2 linked regions of the Elephas maximus indicus genome follow. The main gene of each other region encodes a partner of the protein of the gene in region 2 in a complex. Links are inferred from orthologs where the notes say so. Each region holds a gene or a part of one and is shown on either strand. Other genes may lie near its edges. The genes, in order: TMEM186 and ACAD9.

Region 1 (10,507 bases), on a different chromosome or scaffold from region 2:
CACATCTTTCTCCCATGGAGCAGCTGGTGGGTTCAAACCAACAGCCTTTCAGTTAGCAGCCGAGTACTTAAGCACTGTGCCACCAGGGCTCCCTTTTTAACAATACTAGAAGGTTATAAAGTTGAAAGTGGAAATCTTTCCTTCCTCTCATCCCAGGCCCCCTTCTTCCTCAATCCTCTCCCCAACGGCAGCCACTATTAACAATTTGGAATGCCTTTTTTTTTTTTAAACATAAGATCCCCTCCATTGTTCTGTGATTTGCTTTTTTCACTTCACACTGACCCACAGTCGTATTTCCCTATCAGCAGATGCAGTTCAACGTCTGAAGGCCACATATACCACATGGTATGCGTATACCATCATTCATTTAGCTGTGTCCCCTGCTAATGAAAATTTACTTATTGCCACCTGGGATTTTTGGTGTGCTTTTCTTTTTTTGGTTTTATTTTGTGTGTGAGGGGAGGGGTGGTTTTTTGGTTTGGTTTGGTGTTTTTGCTATTGGAAACACTTCTGTGAACATGCTCATATGCTTGAGTTTTTCTACTAATTATTTTGGAATTGTTGTTAAAGGGGGGAAGCGCCAATATATCCACCACCTGAATCTAAAGACTTTTGTTTTCTGAGAAAGCCACTTCACAGCCCACTCCACGGCTTTGAGGAAGGGTAAATCCCAGGCAGATTCTCAAAACTGGGAGTGCTTTGGAATCATCGAAGACACATAAAAAACACATGCCCAGGTTCTACCAGAATCTACCAAGTCTGAGCAAGGCGACTTTCAGTTTTTGCTGCTGTTGATTTAGGTTGTTTAGAGCAGCTCCCAGGCACAGCCCTAGAGGTGCCCTGCAGAAGCCCTAAACCATTTCCCTTGGGCACGTGGAGAGCGGTGATTTTAGGTCAGGACTAAATGGACAGGATGATGTGTTTGCTCTGTGTGCCCTCTGCTGGTACCGCGTGAGCAGATCACGCATCCCAGCGGAGGCTCCTTCATGCCAAGGCTGGTGAGAATTGTGGCTCTCACCTAGTGCAGACCCCTCGCAGGCACAAAAGTAGCGATGCTTTAGGGCAGCCCTGCGTACATGTTAGCACCACCTGGGGAACCTTTACTACAGCAACTCTTGGGCCTGGGTGTTTTTAAAACAGCTCTCCAGGTGATTCTGCACAGGACGCCAAGGCTGAGACCCACTTGCTTTTTACTTTTTCTTTTGTATTATTATTGTGGTAAAATATATATAACATAGTCGGCAGTGATGGGCAACGTGAGGAAATGGATAGTGGTGACGGTTGCACAACACGGCAACCATGACTCGCGTCACTAAATGTACACTGAAAAAGGGTTAAAACGGCAAACTTTGTTACACATATTTTTACCACAATAAAAATTTTAAATATAGATTTCTTTTTTTAAATACAATTGAAGAATCCCCACATGCAAGGAGTGTCTCAGTGCCCCCACATACACAGCCCCTCCAGGCAGGAGAACCCCACTGTTGGGGAGTGCACGGACCTGACAGGCAGCAGGTGCCTGGTGCCTCCGAACATCCTAGGACGCCCGTCACACTCCCCAGCCTGCCCACCTTGCTCTTGTTGACAGGAATTAACATCTGATGGGAATTTAATGACTGAAACAAATCAGTAAGGCTGTGCGCTTTCATTTGCATTTCTAAAGTGAATGAAAACGAAAAGGTAGTGCTCCCTTTTCTTAAAAGCTCCCAAACTGTCTTTCCCTGCTGTCTCTCCTTTCTCCGACCTCCTTCGAGAGCTTCCTACAGTGATTAGAATAAAATTCAGCATCCTCTCCTGGTCCATCCTTCCCCTCCCTCCCTCCACTCTCACCAGAGGGGCCTCCTCCTCTTCCCCAGCTTAGAACCTCACACTCCCTTTTCCTTCAGCCTGAAACAAACTGTGTCTGCCTCCTACAACACTCAGGTCTCCGCTGAAATGTCCCTTCCCCAGGGCCTCTTGTGCCCTTTTCCCATCATGCCCCTGCTGCTCATCTCCCTCAGACCATCCTGCTCTTCTTTCACTCTACTTGTCCACATTTGTAATTCCATGTTTGTCTAACGGAGTCCTTGGGTGACACGAATGATTAACGCACTTGGCTGGCTGCTAACTGAAAGGTTGGAGGTTCATGTCCACCCAGAAGTGCCTTGGAAGAAAGGCCTGGCGATCTACTTCTAAAAAACCAGCCATTGAAAACCCTGTGAAGCACAGTTCTATTCTGACACATTGGGTCACCATGAGTCAGCGTTGGAAACTGGTTACTGGTTTATAATTGGCTTTTGTTTATCAATAATGCACCAGCGTATCAGCATCTAGTTCATCAGTCTTTATTACACTATGAAACCTTCAGAATGTGGGAACCTCATACCTCTGGGTGGTGAACAAAATCCCAAGGGGCTGCTGCGTTTGCTTGGATGTCACCCCTGCCATTCAGTGTGCAGTTTACCAGCCTGGCAGAAAGATGTGGCCCCGTCCTAGGCTTCCTGCCAGTCCCTTCTGCTGCTGGACACACAGAGTGGACACAGCACAGGGCTCAGGAAGTCTGTCCGATCACCTGGAAGCCTTTCACAGAGCCCTAACCTCTGACATAATGCTCAACATTTGCTCAGGGCTGTTGAGTCCGGAAAGCACTTTGACACTTGTTTATTCTCCCGCCCAGCTCATGAGACAGGCGGGACTCCCCATTTTACAGAGTGAAAACCAAGGTTCAGATGACCTAAGTCTTCTGACTCCAAATCCGGTGCTCCCCAGCCACACCACTCTGCCTTCTGATTCCACAGCAGTGCACTGCTTGGGTGAACGTGAGACAGCTTCCTCCAAGAACTGGCTCTTACGAGAAGTTTCTGGCCATTATTTGAACATTATCCACAAGTGCAGTGAGAACTTGCACGTAGGGCCTTTTTATTAAACCTGGTTACTAGCTTTTGCCACATGAATTTCTTCATCCCATAAGACAAGTTCCTGGATTGCTGTTGTTATTTGCCATCCAGTCGATTTTGACTCATGGTGACTGCAAGGCCAGCTGATCTGCTTCTGAAAGGTCACAGCCTTGAAAATCCTATGGAGCACAGTTCTACTCTGCACACATGGGGTCACCATAAAGTTCCTAGGAGCCCTGGCAAAGTCTCCAGCTGCCTGTTCCTCTTTGTCAGCCTTCCTGTTAGAGATCCAGGTGGCCCAGGGATACCTGGAAGCCCAGCTTCCAGGAGTTTATCTGGGCATGTCCACTCTCCCAAACACCTGTGTGAATCGTTCTCTGTCCAGGATGCATCCATAGCGCAGACTAAGGTAGAAAGTCTGCTTCCCACTGTACTGCTGGATACGGACGAACACCTCCTGGGGCCGGTCCCTAGTTTCCATGAGGGGGATCACATCAGCCACGGGGCAGCAGGTATCCTGCCGCGAGCCCCAGAAGGTCAGGTGGGCCACCCGCAGCACCGTGCCTGACTCATTCACGTACAAGATGCCCACCAGCCTCCGGAAGAAATGGCTCATCCAGTACAGCATGGCCAGGGCAAAGCCAGCTATCCCACCCATGAGGCACAGGGAGCCAAGACTCATCAGGCCCTGGGTGTACAAATAGAAGCCTGGCGGCAGGGCCACCACCGTCAGGGCCGTCTGTGCCACCTTCAGCCGAGACAGGAATCCGAAGACTCTGATGGCACCAAACCGGTAGACCATCTGGAATTTCTCCGTCTCTGTGTCTGATGGTGTCTCCTTCAAGGTGGGTGGTCTGCTTCCCACCCACCTCCTGGGATCCCGCGCACTGCAGCACAGCCCATGGAGCGGCCTCCCCCAGGCAGCTACCCTCTGCCACTGGGTCACTGCTCTGAGCAGGGCAGCCTGGAAGGGAGACAAGAAACCGTTTCTCTCATGGAACTAAACCATGCTAATCAAACAATAAACATTTGCAAAGCAGGTCCCACGGAGGCTCCCAACAATTCTGGGAGGTCTCTGGTATCACCAGAGATGGAGGGAAAGGTAAAGCCAGACCTTCATGACAACTATGAGATAGTTGCCATTACTTCCACTTTATCACTGAGGAAACTAAGGCCAGAGAGGGTAAGAAATTTGCCCAAGGACACACGGCAAGTGTGAATGGGGCAGTGTCTGACCCTTAAACTGTTCCAAGTAGGTACAGAAAAAACGGACCAGCCTTCATTCATTCAACAAATACCCAGGGTGGGCCAACTCCGGGCTGGGCATTGGATCCACAAGTCTTCGCGAACATTTCCCCAAGCAGGAAAACTAAGCAATCGATGTCCTAGTGGCGAACTAGAAAATAAATCCATGAGACAGCTATCACTATAAATAGGTTAGGTTTGAGTTAGCTTGGGTACTGGAGGGAACTGCTGTTTTCTCTTAGCCTAGTTCAGGGAAGGGGAAACAGCAGAGGAGGGGAAGGGAGGCCCCAACACAAGGCGCAAAGATTTTATTAGGTGCACAGTTCTACAACCTTGTGCAGTGGAAAGAGCTTTGGAGCCAGATCCGGGTTCCAATCCTGGCCCCAATGGTCACTAGCTGTGTATCCTTGGGCAAGTTACTCAACTTCTCTGAGCCTCAGTTTCCTCATCTTTCAAAATGGGGATTCTGGGCCTACTGAATGAGACTATGGTTTTAAAGCCCTCAACACACCGATGCACGGTGAACGCTCAGTGAATTTTAGCTATCCCGTTTTCAGTGGTCCATGTGACTTCAGGACACAGGGAACAGAAAACCGTTCCCCATGCCGGAACTTCCTTCCGCGGACTCTCAGACTGAGACACCCAGGCGCCCTGCATGCCTGCCCTAAGCCCTGACCCCGACCCCGAAAGCACGTCACCTTCCTCAACCCCCACCACACTCCTTCTTACCATAGCCCCGCTAGTCGCTGCCGGAAGTGAATACCGCCTGCCCCCGGAACCTCTAGGAGCGCATGCTCATACTACGGGAAACTCAGGAGTGTGTTGTGTTCTGGGACTTGTGGTTCAGCGCTAGTGGCTGAGGCGAGTTGCAGGCATTGTGAGAGCCTAGTCTCCTCGTCCCGGCGTGCCCTGCGGCGCGGGTGCCGAACCCGGAAGTTCCGGTCGATTTCCGGGTGCCAACGGGTCATGTTTGGTGCGTGCGGGACTGGAGATATGGCGGCTACCGGCCCAGCACTGTGCCTCTTCGATGTGGACGGGACGCTGACGGCCCCGCGGCAGGTAGGCGGTACCCAGCGAACTGGCGGCAGCCGGTGCGGGGCCCCCTGATGGGTCCCGATTGGGCTAAAGATCGCCTCGGGTAGGCGCCAGGGGGCGGCTAAGGACCACCGACGGTCGGTTAATGACTGCCCACTCTTCCTGGGGTGCTGAACTCTATTCTGTGTGCCTGGAGGGATGCGAAGGAAGTCACCCAGCTCTTTAAGACGTCAGGGTGCTCGAAGAGATGAGATGGGACCGAAAAACCCTTGAGGGTAGAGAACTTGCACTGGGTTGGGAAGTCCAGTTCTGGACTTTCATTGCCAACCCTGGGTACCGATGGCCTGGAAACCCTGTGGAGCAGTTCTCCTCTGTCCTGCAGGGCCGCTATGAGTCGAAATCTACTCGACAGCAACGGCTTAGGTTTGGTTTTGGTCTTCAGGCCCCTGACCAACTGTGCACCACCCTCCTCCTGCCACCCATAAGCTGTGCCATGTAGGCTGATCTTAAGAATACAGGTTTCTGGGTTAAACAGACCTACCTGAGCCTCAGCTTCACTTTTTGGCAGCTGTGTGGCCTTGAGCAAGTCACTTAACCTCTCTGAGCCTCAGCATCTGCCCCTTTAAATGGGGACATTACCTCTTACATATGGTGCCTGTGAGGATGTTGATCTTTCTTAACTGAAACCTATTCTTGCCTGTAACAGCAAAATCTGGGAGTGCAAGTTTCCAAGGGCCCTTTTTGGCTCTGAGGTCCAGTGATCATCCGTTTATGGGCTATTAAGAGTACGTAATTGTCTGGAATTGGGGAATTCCTGTTTTTGTAAAGGGCAAGATAGTAAATTTTTGTTTTTGTGGACCATATGATCTGTAGTAACTACTACTCAGCTCTGCAAAAGCAGCCACAGACCATATGTAAATGAATGGGCATGGCCATGTTCTAATAAAACTTCATAAAAACAAACAGCAGTTCCGATTGGTTGGTGGACTATAGTTTGTCTATCCCTGGGTCTAGGGTTTACATTTCCAAGACTTAGACTTTATCATTGGACCCTTTCAACCCTTCCTTCCTCCCTCTTCCACCTCAGGAAGGGTAGTTGTTATTCCCATATTACGTTTAAGGAAACTGAGACCCAGTGAAGCAATGACCTTCTCGGTTTCACAGTAGACCTGGTCAGTCCCTGGGTCTCGGGGTATTGTTATTTGCCACTTTTGCCATTTCCTACCACTGTGCTAAAGTGGAAGGTGTTTCAGTTTCTGAATGTGCTGTTCAGGAAAGTGCTTTGGATTTCCAAAAAGAATTAGAATAACTAAGCATAGTAGTTAAGTGCTATGGCTGCTAGGCTGCTAAACAAAACATCGACAATTCAAATCCACCAGCCGCTCCCTGGAAACTCAATGGGGCAATTCAGCTCTGTCCTAGAGGGTCACTGAATAGGAATCTCAGGATTGAATTGACAGCAATGGGTTTTTTTAAGTATAAAGTACGAAATAGCAAAGAAACCAGGTTAGGTAGCCTACAACGTATTCTCTTAAGACATTTGAAACATGATATTGTTTGCAGTAACCGTAAATTATTTTTACACTCAAATAAATAAACTCTGTAATTTAAAAGAGAATTGTTTCTGTGTTGGGTGCTCTAGGTAAAATTTTTTTCGCAAAAGAGCTATTCATCATACAGTCTTTCTCTTCATCATTACATGCATTTGCAAACTGATAAGTGCAGTAAAATCCAGAAGCAGAAGACTTGCACTGCTGAAACAAGGACCGAGCTAAAAACATAAAAACTAATTAGAATGGACTCCAGGGCTTTGCACACGTCACTTGTTGTTAGGTGCACTCGAGTCGGTTCTGACTCATAGCGACCCTGTACACAACAGAACGAAACACCGCTCAGTCCTGCACCATCCTCACAGTTGTTGCTATGCTTGAGCCAACTGTTGCAGCCACTGTCAATCTCTTTGAGGGTCTTCCTCTTTTTTGCTGACCCTCTACTTTACCAAGTGTGATGTCCTTCTCCAGGGACTGATCCCTCCTGATAACATGTCCAAAGTATGTGAGACAAAGTCTTGTCATCCTTGCTTCTACTGAGCATTCTTGTTGTACTTCTTCCAAGACAGATTTGTTTGTTCTTTTGGCCATCCATAGTATGTTCAACATTCTTCCCCAACACCATAATTCAAAGACGTCAAATCTCCTTCAGTCTTCCTTATTCATTGTACAGCTTTCGCATGCGTATGATGCGATTGAAAACACCATGGCTTGGGTCAGGCACGCCTTGTTCTTCAAGGTGACATCTTTGCTTTTCAACACTTTAAAGAGGTCTTAATGTGTCTTGATTTCTGGACTTCTGCTTCCATGGGTGTTGATTGTCGATCCAAGTAAAATGAAATGCTTGACAACCTCAATTTTTTCTCCATTTATCACGATGTTGTTTATTGGTCCAGTTGTGAGGGTTTTTGTTTTCTTTATGTTGAGGTGTAATCTGTACTGAAGGCTGTGGTCTTTGATCTTCATCAATAAGTGCTTCACGTCCTCTTCACTTTCAGCAAGCAAGGTTGTGTCATCTGCATAACGCAGGTTGTTAATGAGTCTTCCTCCAATCCTGATGCCCCGTTCTTCTTCATATAGCCCAGCTTCTCAAATTATTTGCTCAACATACAGATTGAATGGGCCTGATGAAAGAATACAACCCTGATGCACACCTTTCTGGATTTTAAACCATGCAATATCCCCTTGTTCTGTTTGAACAACTGTCTCTTGCTCCATGTACAGATTCCTCATGAGCACAATTAAGTGTTCCGGAATTCCCATACTTTGCAATGTTATCCATAATTTATTATGATCCACACAGTCGAGTGTCTTAGCATAATCAATAAAACACAGGTAGACATCTTTTTGGTATTCTCTGCTTTCAGCCAGGATCCATCTGGCATCAGCAGTGATATCCCTGGTTCCACATCCTCTTCTAAAGACGACTTGAGTTTCTGACAGTGCTTGTCGATATACTGCTGCAGCCGCTTTTGAATGATCTTTAGCAAAATTTTGCTTGCATGTGATAATGATGTTTTTTGGTAATTTCTACATTTCAGTTGGGTCGCCTTTCTTGGGAATAGACATATATATGGATCTCTTCCAGTCAGTTGCCCAGGTAGGTCTTCCAAATTTCTTGGCATAGATAAGTACGTGCTTCCAGCGCTGCATCCATCTCTTGAAACATCTCAGTTGGTATTCTGTCAATTCTCAGAGCCTTGTTTTTTGCCAGTGCCTTCAGTGGAGCTTGGAATTCTTCCTTCAGTACCATTAGTTCCTGATCATATGTTACCTCCTGAAATGGTTGAACGTCGACCAATTCTTTTTGGTATAGTGACTCTGTGTATTCCTTCCATCTTCTTTGAATGCTTCCTGCGTCGTTTAATATTTTCCCTGTAGAATCTTTCAGTATTGTTACTCAAGGCTTGAATTTTTTCTTCAGTTCTTTCAGCTTGGGAAATGCTGAGCATGTTCTTCCCTTTTGGTTTTCTATGTCCAGGTCTCTGCACATGTCATCATAATACTTTGTCTTTTCAAGCCACCCTTTGAAATCTGCTCAGCTCTTTTACTTCATCATTTTTTCCTTTTGACATCCATTTTGGTCTTTTCTTTCTTTCCTGTCTGTTTAGTGATATCTTGCTTTCTTCACGTATGATATCCTTGATGTCATTCCACAACTCATCTGGTCTTCAGTCATTAGTGTTCAATGCATCAAAACTGTTCTTGAGATGGTCTCTAAATGCAGGGGGGATATACTCAAGGTCGTACTTTGGCTCTCGTGGACTTGGTCTAATTTTCTTTAGTTTCAGCTTGAACTTGCATATGAGCAATTGATGGTCTGATCCGCAGTTGATTCCTGGCCTTGCTCTGACTGATGATATTGAGCTTTTCCATTGTCTTTTTCCACAGATGTAGTTGATTTGATTCCTGTGTATTCCATCTGGCGACGTCCGTGTTATATAGTCACTGTTTATGTTGGTGAAAAAAAGTATTTGCAATGAAGAAGTTGTTGGTCTTGCAAAATTCTATCATGCTATCTCCAGCATCCTTTCTATCACCAAGGCCGTACCGACCCTTCTTTGTTTCCAACTTTTGCATTCCAATCACCAGTAATTATCAGTGCATCCTGATTGCATGTTCTATCAATTTCAGACTGCAGAAGTTGATAAAAATCTTCTTTGGCCTTAGGGGTTGGAGTGTAAATTTGAATAATAGCCCTATTAACTGGTCTTCCTTGTAGGCGTATGGATGTTATCCTATCACTTACAGCGCTATACTTCAGGATAGATCTTGAAATGTTCTTTTTGACGATGAATGCAACACCATTCCTCTCCAAGTTGGTAGTCTCGGCATAGTAGACCATATGATTGTCTGATTCAAAATGACCAGTACCAGTCCATTTCAGCTCACTAATGCCTAGAATATTGATCTTTATGCGTTCCATTTCATTTTTGACGATTTCTAATTTTCCTAGATTCATACTTCATACATTCCAGGTTCTAGTTTTTAATGGATGTTTGCAACTGTTTCTTCTCTTCAGCAAATGAAGGCCCCAAAAGCTTGACTCCATCCACTTCATTAAGGTCAACTCTATTTTGAGGAGGCAGCTCTTCCCTAGTTGTATTTTCAGCACCTTCCAACCTGAGGGCCTCATCCTCCGGCAGTATATCAGACTATCACATGTCAGCATCACAGCAACACACAAGCCCCCACAGTACAACAAACTGACAAATGTGTGGGGGTACATGTCACTATTTTAGTAGAATTTTGTTGTGCTGTGTACTTTGCTAAAAAATGCTGTTCCATATAAAGACAGTTGGTACTTACAACGATAGTCTGCAAAAAGTAGGGAGACATAAACCTAAGTGAAGTGTTTTTCCAACTTCCCATTATGAAAAATTTCAAATGTACATAATCATTGAAAGAGTAGCACACAGAACACCCATAGCTCCGCCACTTAGATTCAACAGTGGTTGACATTTTGTTATATTAACTTTGTCTCTCTCTTTTTTTTGTCTTTTGCTGAGCCCTGGTGGTGCAGTGGTTAAGAGCTCAGCTGCTAATCAAAAGGTTGGCAGTTCAAATCCACCCGCTGCTCCTTGGAAACCATATGGGGTGGTTCTGCTCTGTCCTGTAAGGTGGCTATGAGTCAGAATCGACTTGACAGCAGCGAGTTTGGTTTAGTTTTGGTTTGCTGAGCCACTTTCTAAGCTGCTGTCATCATGGAACTTCGCCCCTAAATCCTTTAGCATGTACCTCTTCAGAACAAGGACATCCTCGTTCATAACCACAGTATCATCATCACACCTAAGAAAA
Region 2 (10,888 bases):
GGGTAGGACAGTATACAATACTGGGGAAGTCTGCATAATTTGACTGGGGTAAAGTCCTAGAAGCTTCACAAACACGTCCAAATGCCCTGAGAGACCAAGTTAACTGGACTGAGAGTTAGTGGCCATAGTCTCAGGGGACATCTGGCTCAACTGGCATAACAGTTTATAAAGAAAACATTCTACATCCAATGGTGTGAGTAGCAACTGGGGTCTTAAAAGCCTGAGAGTGGCCATCTAAGATACATCTACTGGTCCCATCCCGGTTTGAGCAAAGACACAAGGGAAAGATTAGTCCAAAGGACTAATGGACCACAACTACCACAACTACCAACAGACTGAATACAGAACAACTAGATGGTGCCAGTTACCACCACTGACTGCTCTGGCAGGGATCACAACAGAGAGTCCTAGAGAGAGCAGGAGAAAAATATAGAACAGAAATCAAATTCACAAAATTTTTTTTAAAAAAGACCCAGCCTGCTAGTCTGACTGAGACTGGAGAAACCCCAAGAGCTTGGCGCCCAGACACCCTTTTAATTCAGTACTAAAGTCACTCCTGAGGTTCACCCTTCAGCCAAAGATTAGACAGGTCTATAGGGCCAATAATAACACACATGAGGGACGCGCTTCATAATTCAATCACGTATATGAGGCTAATGGGCACACAAGCCCAAAAGCAAAGACAAGAAGGCAGGAAGGGACAGGAAAACTGTACAAATGGAAACAGGGAACCTGGGATGGAAAAGGGGAAAGTGTTGACACATCACGGGGTTAGCAACCAATGTCACGAAACAATTTGTGTACTAACTGTTTAATGAGAAATTAATTTGCTATGTAAACTCTACCTAAATCATTAAAAAAAAAAAAAAAAAAAAAAAAACCAGTACACTAAAAAACAAGGCTCCAGGAACTGACAGAATGCCAATTGAGATGATTCAACGAATGGATGCAGTGCTGGAAGTGCTCACTCGACTCTGCCAAGAAATCTGGAAGACAGCTACCTGGCTGGAAAGAGATCCATATTTGTGCCCATTCCAAAGAAAGATGATCCAACAGAATGCGGAAACTATTGAACAACATCATTAATATTACACACAAGTAAAATCTTGCTGAAGGTCATTCAAAAGCAGTTGCAGCAATACATCCTCAAGGAACTCCCAAAAATTCACACTGGATTCAGAAGAGGACGTGGAACGAAGGATATCATTGCTGATGACAGATGCTCCTTGCTGAAAGCAGAGAAACCAGAGAGATGTTTACCTGTGTTCTACTGACTATGCAAAGGCATTTGACTGTGTGGATCATAACAAATTATGGATAACATTGCGAAGAATGGGAATTCCAGAACACTTCATTGTGCTCATGAGAAACCTATACATTGACCAAGAGCCAGTCATTCGAACAGAACAAGGGGGTACTGCATGGTTTAAAGTTAGGAAGGGTACGTGTTAGGGTTGTATCTTTTCACCATACCTATTCAATCTGTCTGCTGAGCAAAAAATCTGAGAAGCTGGACTGTATGAAGAAGAATGTGGTATCAGGATTGGAGGAAGACTCACTAACAACCTGCAATATGCACACAACACATCCCTGCTTGCTGAAGATGAAGAGGATTTGAAGCACTTACTGATGAAGATCAAAGACCACAGCCTTCAGTACGGATTACATCTCAACATAAAGAAAACAAAACTCCTCACAACCTGGACCAATAAGCAATATCATGATAAAAGGAGAAAATATTGAAGTTGTAAAGAATTTCATTTTACTTGGATCCACAATCAACACCCACAGAAGCAGCAGTCAAGAAATCAAACAACGCATCGCACTGAGAAAATCTGCTGCAAAAGATCTCTTTAAAGTGTTAAAAAGCAAAGATGTCAGTTTAAGGACTGAGGTGTGCCTGACTCAAGCCATGATGTTTTCAGTCGCCTCATATGCATGTGAAAGCTGGACAATGAATAAGGAAGACTATAAAAGAATTGATGTTTTTGAATTACGGTGTCAGCGAAGAAAACTGAATATGCCACGAACTGCCAAAAGAATGAACAAATCTGTTTTGGAAGAAGTACAGCCAGAATGCTCCTCAAAAGCAAGGATGGTAGGAGTTCATCTCACATCCTTTAGACATGTTACCAGGAGAGACAAGTCCCTGGAGAATGACATCATGTTTGATAAAGCAGAGGGACAGTGAAAAAGAGGAAGACTTTCAATGAGACGGACTGACACAGTGGCTGCAATAATGGGCGTAAGCACAAGAGTGGTTGTGAGGATGGTGCAGGACCAGGCAGCATTTTGTTCCATTGTTGGAGGTGGAATCAACTCGATGGCAACTAACAACAAAACGGGTGGAAAAGGTCTATCAAAGAGGGGGGAGTGATGAAATGTGTCAGATGCCACTGATGGGTCAAGTCAGATGAAAACCAGGAACAGACCACAAGATCTGGCAATGTGGAGGTCACTGCTGTTCTTCCCGAGAGCAGCTTTAGTATACCATAGATAGTTCAGGACAAATGCCCGAACGGCATGGGCTCAAGATCCGGTGGAGAGGGAAAAACTGATGATGCATGTCTTAGCTTCCCAGTACTGCTGTGGCAGAAATACCACAAGTGGGCAGCTTTAACAACCAAAAAAATCCATTGACATCAAGTCAATTCCGACTCATAGCGACCTTACAGGACAGAGCAGAACTGCCCTGTAGCATTTTCCAAGGAGCGTCTGGTGGATTGAAACTGCTCGCCTTTTGTTTAGCAGCCAAGCTCTGAACTACTGCACCACTAGGGCTCCAGAGCAGCTTTAAAAAACAGAAATCTATTTTCTCACAGTTCTGGAGGTTAAAGTCCAAATCAGGATCTCAGCCATGTCAATTCCTTCCCTGTCAGTACCCCTAGGTGTTCTCTGATGATCCCCCCCATGGCATCTGTCCCATGCTGTCCCCCCCCCCCCCGTGTGTGCATGTGTGTCTCATCTGCTTTTTTTATAACTCAGAAGTGATTAGGTTTAGGACACAGCCTACAGTGGTATGGCCTCATTAACACAACAAAGAAAGTCCTATTGCCAAACAGGATTACATCCATAGGTATAGCGGTTAGGATTTCAACACATATTTTGGCAAGGACAAAATTCAATCCACAACAATGCAGATGAGAAAGGAGAGAATTTCTGGATCAATGTCCTTGAGTAGGTGAGAAGGCATAGCATCTAGAGATGAGTTGGCCTTTGCTAGTAGCCATCCAAAGTGATAGAATGTAGAAGATGTGGACACACATGATGGGAGGAGAGGGCAAATGTGGTGATGGAAGTTCTCATCTGACTACATGTATTTTCTCAGTGAGACGGGCAGCAAAGCTGAGAGTGAGGATGCGGGAGGTGGTGGCAGAGGTTTGAAGAAAGAAACATGACAGATGTGTGTTCTCTCCTCACCATGCTTCTGGGAGGCATGAGGTCCCAGGACAGAGCACCACATACTCCCAAGTTTTGGGGAAAATGGTTTTCCAAATTTTAAAGACCTAGCTTTGCATTTCCTAGAGGGGCAAACCACTCTCAGTCTGAGTCTCAGCTCCTGCAACTGCAATGTCTGTATAAAGGTCTGACAAACTTAGAGGACTGTTCTAATGACAAACCAGGAACTAAGTGATACAGTACCAGCCAACATTTGGACCAAGTCTTGCTCAAAGCACTTCATACAAATTTTTTTTTTTTTTTGGTTTGCAAGGCACCTTTAGTAGGAGATGAGTACTGTTTTTACTCCATTTCGTAGATAAGCACACTGAGGCACAGCGGCGTTAAGTGACAAAACTAGTAAGTACTGAAGCCAGCGTTACTTACTCTGCTGCCTCTTGTATCTGCAGCGTATCTTAAAAACATTAAAAAAAATAAACAGAGTATCTTACAGTTTAAAAATCACTTTCATGCACCATATATTTCATTGGGGCGTTACAGCACATCTGTGACGTAGAGACAACACTAGTTCCATTTCAAGGTTGAAAGAACGAAGGCTAAAGTTACAAAAAACAGTCAAGGCCAAATCCAAGTCTTCCAACTATAAAAGGAGAGTTACAAGCCCTGGTGGCGCTGTGGTTAAAGCGCTGGACTGCTAGTGGAACTCGGGAATCCGGAGTTTTAAAACACCCCACACCGAGGTGATTCTTGTCAGGCAGGTTTGGGGGCTCTGACACGTCGACCCCAGTCTTCCTGCTAAGGGCGAAAAGCGGGGGCCCGAGAGCAAGGGTGGGCGTTACCTTCTCGATTGTGCCTAGGAAGAGCTCCTTGGCGAAACCTCGGCTCGGTGGGCTGGTGCGCAGCGAGCGTCGGCTCGCCGTGAAGGCCGCCAGAGCCCGGCAGGCACGCGCCGTCGCCGTCGCCGTCGTCGCCGCCGCGCGCAGGAAGAGTCCGCCGCCGCTCATGCTGCCTGAAGTCGCTCAGACTACCAGTGTCACCTCTTCCTCAGTGCTTCAGGCTGAAGTGCGCGGGATCGCGCCGCCTGATGACGCCACTGGCCTGCTAGGCGCCGCCGGTCGCCAGTGCGCATGCGCCGCGTTGGGCCGCAGGGGAGGGCAGGGCGAGTGGGCTGGGGATCACCTCAATGGGCGGCTTCTCACGTTAGTTGCTGGGGGCCCCCGGGAAGGTTTTGTTTTCAAACGCGAGCGGTTGTTTGCGTAACCCTCAGCCCTGAGAGTCTTCCAGGTGCTTAAGAAGCGGCCCAACTGCCTCCACTTGCCTCTCTTCCTGAGGCAGGGGCAAGCAGTACAAGGTAAAACTAAAGCAAAAAAAAAAAAAAAAATCCGTTGCCGTGGAGTCAATTCCAACTCCTAGCGACCCTAAAGCAAAAAAAAAAAAAAAAAAAGCAAAGGAGTGGGGGAAAAAAGACACGAAATTGGTTATCACCGGAGGGGCGCTCACAGTGCAGATAATATTGCATTTTTTAAGTAGGTGATAGATACATGGGGGTTCATTTTGTTTTGCTTCTCTCCTCGCGTGACAATGACTACTCTGCTTAAAACGGAAGTAAAGAGATTTATTGAAAAAGACCAGACTTACTGGTCTGACAGCCTGGAGAAACCCCGAGAGTATGGACCCCCGGACACTCCTTTAACTTAGTACCAAAGTAACTCCTGAGGTTCACTCTTCAGCCAAAGATTAGACAAGCCTATAAAACAGTAACACACCCGTAGCTGAACCTGTATAGGAGACTAAGTGGGCACACCAGCCCAGGGGCAAGGATGAGAAGGCACGAGGGGACAGGGAAGCTGGGCAAATGAAAATGGGAAACCTAAGGTCCACGTTGTGTAAAAACACAGCGGCACCCGAACCCAAGGTGGGCGGCATCTCCAAGAGACCAGATAAAAACTCTGGAACCAGCGATCATGACATACTGTTTATTCCCGAAGGTTACTTACAGACCGTGGCCCAGGGCGGTGCCTGGACCAGTTCAGCGCTTTGCAACCACCTAGCAGGAGGCACAAGCTTACGTACCGTTCCAGCTGGGACAAAGGCTCGTTGTTTTCTCCCACGTTCTTGGGCATTACTGTTCCCAGGAACTTCACTTCCAGGCCCAGCTGTTCTCCTTCTTGTTGCTAAGGCGTTCTTTGGCCTTGGCCACTGGCCCAGTCACACCATCCCCAGCCTTGTACGGTAGCCTGAGTCCATCCCGAATTCATCCCCAGCATGCTTTGGGGAAGAGCAAAAGAGACTCCATTAGGAGGGGATGCGTATAGCTGAAAAGCATGGCAGTCCAGAAGGGAAGAGTGTTGACGTGTTGCAGGGTTAGCAACCAATGTCACAACAAAACAATATGTGTATTAATTGTTCAACAAGAAACTAATTTGCTCTGTAAACTTTCACCTTAAAATCACCAACCCACTAAGCACAATAAAAAAAAATTAAAAATATATTTAAGAAAAAAAGATTTATTGATAGCAAAGGAGCTGGGGACACATTTGATCTCACAAAGTAAAAACCAGCTCTCCAAAAAGCTGCAGTCACATGGGCATAGTTATAGGGTTGAATCAGGAACTTAGTTTATAATATTCTAATTATGAGGCATGCAATTAGTGAAGTTTAAAGAAAACAACAACGAACATCTCGCTGTCCAGTGATTCTGACTCTTAAGTAGGAGGCAGGAAACCACCAAGCAGGAGGGGGTAGGGCTTTGGTTGGGATTGGTTAACAGAGTTTATGTGAGTTAAGGGGATTGGGTATACTCACATAACTGCGAAAACAAGAGGATTGATAGGCCAGGGTCTACTGGTTCCACCCAGCCAGAAGCCCAAGATTATTTGCATACGAATGGGAAGACACCAAGCTTACATTCTCAGGAATGCAGAAGCAGATGCTTGTAACAAAATGGAGTTTTAATTCAGACTTCATGTCAGTCATTCTATTATGCCAGGTGCTTCAGCTTTAAAGGTTTGCTAGCACACTTTATAATTGCATGCTTGCCTACTCCAAGTCCAAGATCTAATTTTCAGAATCATATAAATCAAACATGGGTGAGACTTTAGGCATATTCTATCCTGGGGCAGAAGTCTTCTTCATCTGTGATCCTGTGAAATCTAAACCAGAAGTTACGTATTTCTAAAGTACAACGGTGGGACAGACACCAGATAGACATTTCCATTACAAATGGGAGAAATTGGAGGGAAAGAAGGGATAATAGGCACCAAGCAAATCCCAAACCTAGAAAAAATTTACATTAGCCCTCAAGGCTTGAAAATAACCATCTATTCTTTGAGACCATGAGGCAATGGTCCCGCCCTCCAGACTCTGGGTGTTGGCCATGCCCTCTGGATTCTGGGTGGTGGCCTTTCACCCTGGGCTTTGACTCCACCTTCCAGGCCCACTGAAACGGCAACTCTACTCACTCGCATTTGGGTAGTCTTATTCCCCTAGTCCTAGTCTGCGTGGCAACCCCACTCCCTCGGCTCCAGCAGGCCCCATTCTTCTGTCCCCTCGGCATGGCAGACCTGCCTCCTCAGCTTTGGGTTGTGGCCCCATTCCTCTGGCACACCTTACTGTCAGCCCCACACTCCAGAACCCAGCTGGCAAAGATCCAACTCTGAAACCTAGGAGGCTGTGGCCCCACCCTATGAAACTGAGAAGGACCTGCTTCCCATACTCCTTTTAACAGTTCTGGTGATCTCCAAGCTGCTCCAGGCATGGTCCTTTTCTTTTCTTGGAGGACAACAGATGTAGCTCCTTTGGCCTATTTCCTGCCTGTAGAATTCTAAGAGGTAGACAGCCTTCTTTCCTTTCATTCTTTCTCTGTACCCCTCAGTCTAAGCTGATGAGTTTCCTGCTGTGGTAGTTGGTTAGATCCATCAGTCACAGGCCTTAATCTCTTTAACAAAAGATGTGTAGCCACGTCCTTGGTGAACATTCTAGGACATGTGCCCTTAATTTGTACAACAGAATTTTCCAAATCTTTAAGTTTTGTTTTCATTTTGTACAGTTCATTTTTAAGTCTATGTCTTTCCTATCTCACTTTACTATAAGCAGCAAGGAGAAACCACACAGCCCCTTTAAGATCTTGCTTAGAAATCTCCTCAGCCAGATATCCAAGTTCATCAAGTTCTACCTTCCACTAAACATTTGAACATAATTCAGACAAGTTCTTTTCCACTTTATAAAAAGCATCACCCTTCCTCCATTGTCCGATCACATGTCCGTAATTTCCTTTTAAAGCCTCATCAGAAGCACATTTAATGTCCACATTTATAGCAACATTCTGTTGCTGGCGCCATATGTATTCTCTAAGACCATAGAGACTTTCTCTATGGCTCTCCTCACCTCCTTCTGAGCCATCTCCAGAGTTGCCTTTGACATGCATAATTCTACCAACATGCTCTTCAAGGCAACCTAGGCTTTTACTACTAAAAAAAAAAAACCTGTGGCCGTCACGTCAATTCTGACTCATAGTGACCATATAGGACAGAGTAGAATGCCCCGTAGGGTTTCCAAGGAGCAGCTGGTAGATTTGAACTGCCAACATTTGGGTTAGCAGCTGAGCTCTTAACCATTGCACCACCAGGGCTCCACTTTTACTGTTACCAAAAAACCAAACCCACTGCCGTCGAGTTGATTCCGACTCATAGCAGCCCTATAGGACAGAGTAGAACTGCCCCATAGAGTTTTCGAGGAGTGCCTGGCAGATTTGAACTGCCGACCTCTTGGTTAGCAGCTGTAGCACTTAACCACTACGCCACCAGGGTTTCCACTTTTACCGTTAGTCACCTTAAAATGCTTCCAACATCTACCCATTACCCAATTCCAAAACCACTTCCACATTTTAGGTATCTGTTAGAGCAGCACCCCACTCTTTTGGTACCAAATTCTGTCTTTGTTATCTCATGCTGCTATAATAGAAATACCACAAGTGGGTGGCTTTAACAAAAGGAAATTTATTTTCTCACAGTTAAGGAGGCTAGAAGTCCAAATTCAGGGTGCTGGCTCTAGGGGAAGGTTTTCTCTCTCTGTTAGCGCTGGAGGAAAGTTCTTGTCTCTTCAGCTCTGTTTCCTGGTTCCTTGGAGATCTCCATGTGGCTTGGCATCAGTCTTCCTCATCTCTACTTCTTTCACTTGCTTGTTTAATCTTTTTTATATCTAAAAAGAGATTGACTCAAGATACACCCTATACTAATCCTATCTCATTAGCATAACAAAGACAACCCATTCTCAAATGAGATTATAACTACAGGCATAAGGCTACGATTTGCAACACATACTTTTGAGGGACACAATTCAATCCACAACTGACACCTTTGAATTGTGGTGCTGGCGAAGAATATTGAATATACTGTGGACTGCCGAAAGAATGAACAAATCTGTCTTAGAAGTACAACCAGAATGCTCCTTAGAAGCAAGGATGGTGAGACTGCATTTTACATACTTGGAACATGTTGTCAGGAGAGATCAGTCCCTGGAGAAGATATCATGCTTGGCAGAGTACAGGGTCAGCAGAAAAGAGGAAGACCCTCAGTGAGGTGGATTGACACAGTGGCTGCAACAATGATCTCAAGCATAATGATTGTAAGGCAGTGTTTCGTTCTGTTGTGCACAGGGTTGCCATGAGTCAGAAAAGACTTGACGGCACCGAACAACAACAACAATTCAATCCGTAATCTCAAGCATGTGAACAATGAGTTTAGTCAAGCTTCCTGTCTCAATATCCTAATAAAAGGCACATAAATGGTGCAAAGTTTATTGCTATTTTATTTTCTGCTAAGAAGTTGGTAATACCTTAATGTCTAGAGACCAAATACCTATATGTAGAAAGGTGTCCCTCAAGAGAATACCTGTGTCTCATACTCTAAATTTATACTATCTATGTAAAAATGGCATGGTATAGGCATCTGACCTCCTCTAACTTCACAAGCGGGAAAGAGTATCAAGATCAGCAGCCCAAGATTGATTCCTGTGAGGTGGAGGTCAGACATACCTCCTCTCACCAGTCCTTTTTACCAAATCTGACATCATCTGTCCCTCCCATGGTGTACTCTATTTCTCTGCTGAATTTGATAAATTGTTATAACGGCTACACGGAACTCACAGACAATACACATGATTATGAAGTTTATTAGAGAAGTAACATGTTACAGTTCAGGTTCAGAGATGCTCAGGATATAGTTCTTTGATCAGGACAGCCTCTCCTCAGCCATGCCCTCCATCAGGTCTCTCCCTGGCCTCCTGGCCACTGCCCTGCTCAGACAAGTGTTACAAAGATCTTTAGCTCTGCTGATAAGTGCCTAGAGGCACCCCACTCCACCAGTAAGCCCCTGCCCTAAGGTGCTCAGCTCTAGCTTCATAAATCAGCAAACCTAGCTCCCCCAAATGCCCAGAGGCACCCTACTCCACCAGTAAGCCTCCTGCCCTAAGGTACTCAGCTTTCTCACTCCCCGGGCTGGGAAGTCCACTGTGCCGTCTCCTGCCGTCTCCTGCTAGTCTCTTGCAGTTTCCTTTCAGTCTCCTGGTTCTGCTGCCACTGTTTCTCTGTCACTGCTTCTCGCCATCGCCAGTGTCACAGCTCTTTCTCTCTGTCTTCCACATTACATGTTATAGCTCCTGCTCTCTCTCTCTCACAGTGTCTTGGTTCCAGGAGCTTCTCAGCACAGGGATCTTGAGTCCAAAGGATGCACTCCACTCTTGGCGGCGGTGAGATCCCCTCCTCCCACCTCTGGGGTGGCTCATTTTAAGCGTAGCAGGATGGCAAAATTGACCAATTCCTTCATTAGGTTTCCATAGACCTTATTTGCATAGTCCTACTCGATCACAGTGAGTAAGTCACAAAGGCTATGGCTAGAAGGGCCATATTAAGCAATTCATTGCACTGCAGTCCACTACTACTTCCTACCCATTCGATGTATATTAGTTCCCACTTGAGGTACATTAGTTATTAGGGAAACATGATGTCATTGGCACACAATGTTCTAGCACTCAGATAGGGCCTACTAGTGACCACAGGACTTTGGGTTATGTCCTAGAACCCATACATCTAGTGCTTCTGTTATGGTGTGGAATCAATAGACTCCTAAATGATAGGCCCCTGACACAGTTAAACATTTTAAGAAAGCCCTTTTCAAAGAGGGATAAGTACATAGATAACTAACTACATAACTGACTTTGGCTATAAAAATCAGCACAAAGCTGGTTCCCATGAGGCAGAGGTTGAACATATCTTCATTTTCTGACTTTCTCCATTATTTCTAACACCAGCTGTCATAGTTAATGTCATGTGTCAACTTGGCTTGGCAATGATTCTCAGTATTTTCCTCCATTTTGTGGTCTGATGTTAAGGGGAATTTCCCTGGGGGTGTGGTCTAATGTCAAGGGGAATTTCCTTGGGCGTGTGGTCTGCATCCAATATATACGAACATTCTGGCTAAGCTCTCACTCC

Evidence for each region.
Region 1: ACAD9 (region 2) and TMEM186 share a complex: the UniProt entries of both Homo sapiens proteins name them as parts of the mitochondrial complex. The link is inferred for Elephas maximus indicus from reciprocal best matches to the Homo sapiens genes ACAD9 and TMEM186.

Annotation. Positions count from the first base shown.
Region 1 is NC_064830.1:66,917,715-66,928,221, forward strand, and holds the start of TMEM186 (transmembrane protein 186), read right to left. Parts: upstream 4,878-10,507; 5' UTR 4,857-4,877; coding exon 4,854-4,856; intron 3,844-4,853; coding exon 3,211-3,843; 3' UTR 1-3,210. Other genes in the region: PMM2 (phosphomannomutase 2), read left to right, coding at 5,091-5,183. UniProt on the Homo sapiens protein: As part of the MCIA complex, required for efficient assembly of the mitochondrial complex I.
Region 2 is NC_064838.1:41,142,695-41,153,582, reverse strand, and holds the start of ACAD9 (complex I assembly factor ACAD9, mitochondrial), read right to left. Parts: upstream 4,507-10,888; 5' UTR 4,404-4,506; coding exon 4,239-4,403; intron 1-4,238. UniProt on the Homo sapiens protein: As part of the MCIA complex, primarily participates in the assembly of the mitochondrial complex I and therefore plays a role in oxidative phosphorylation.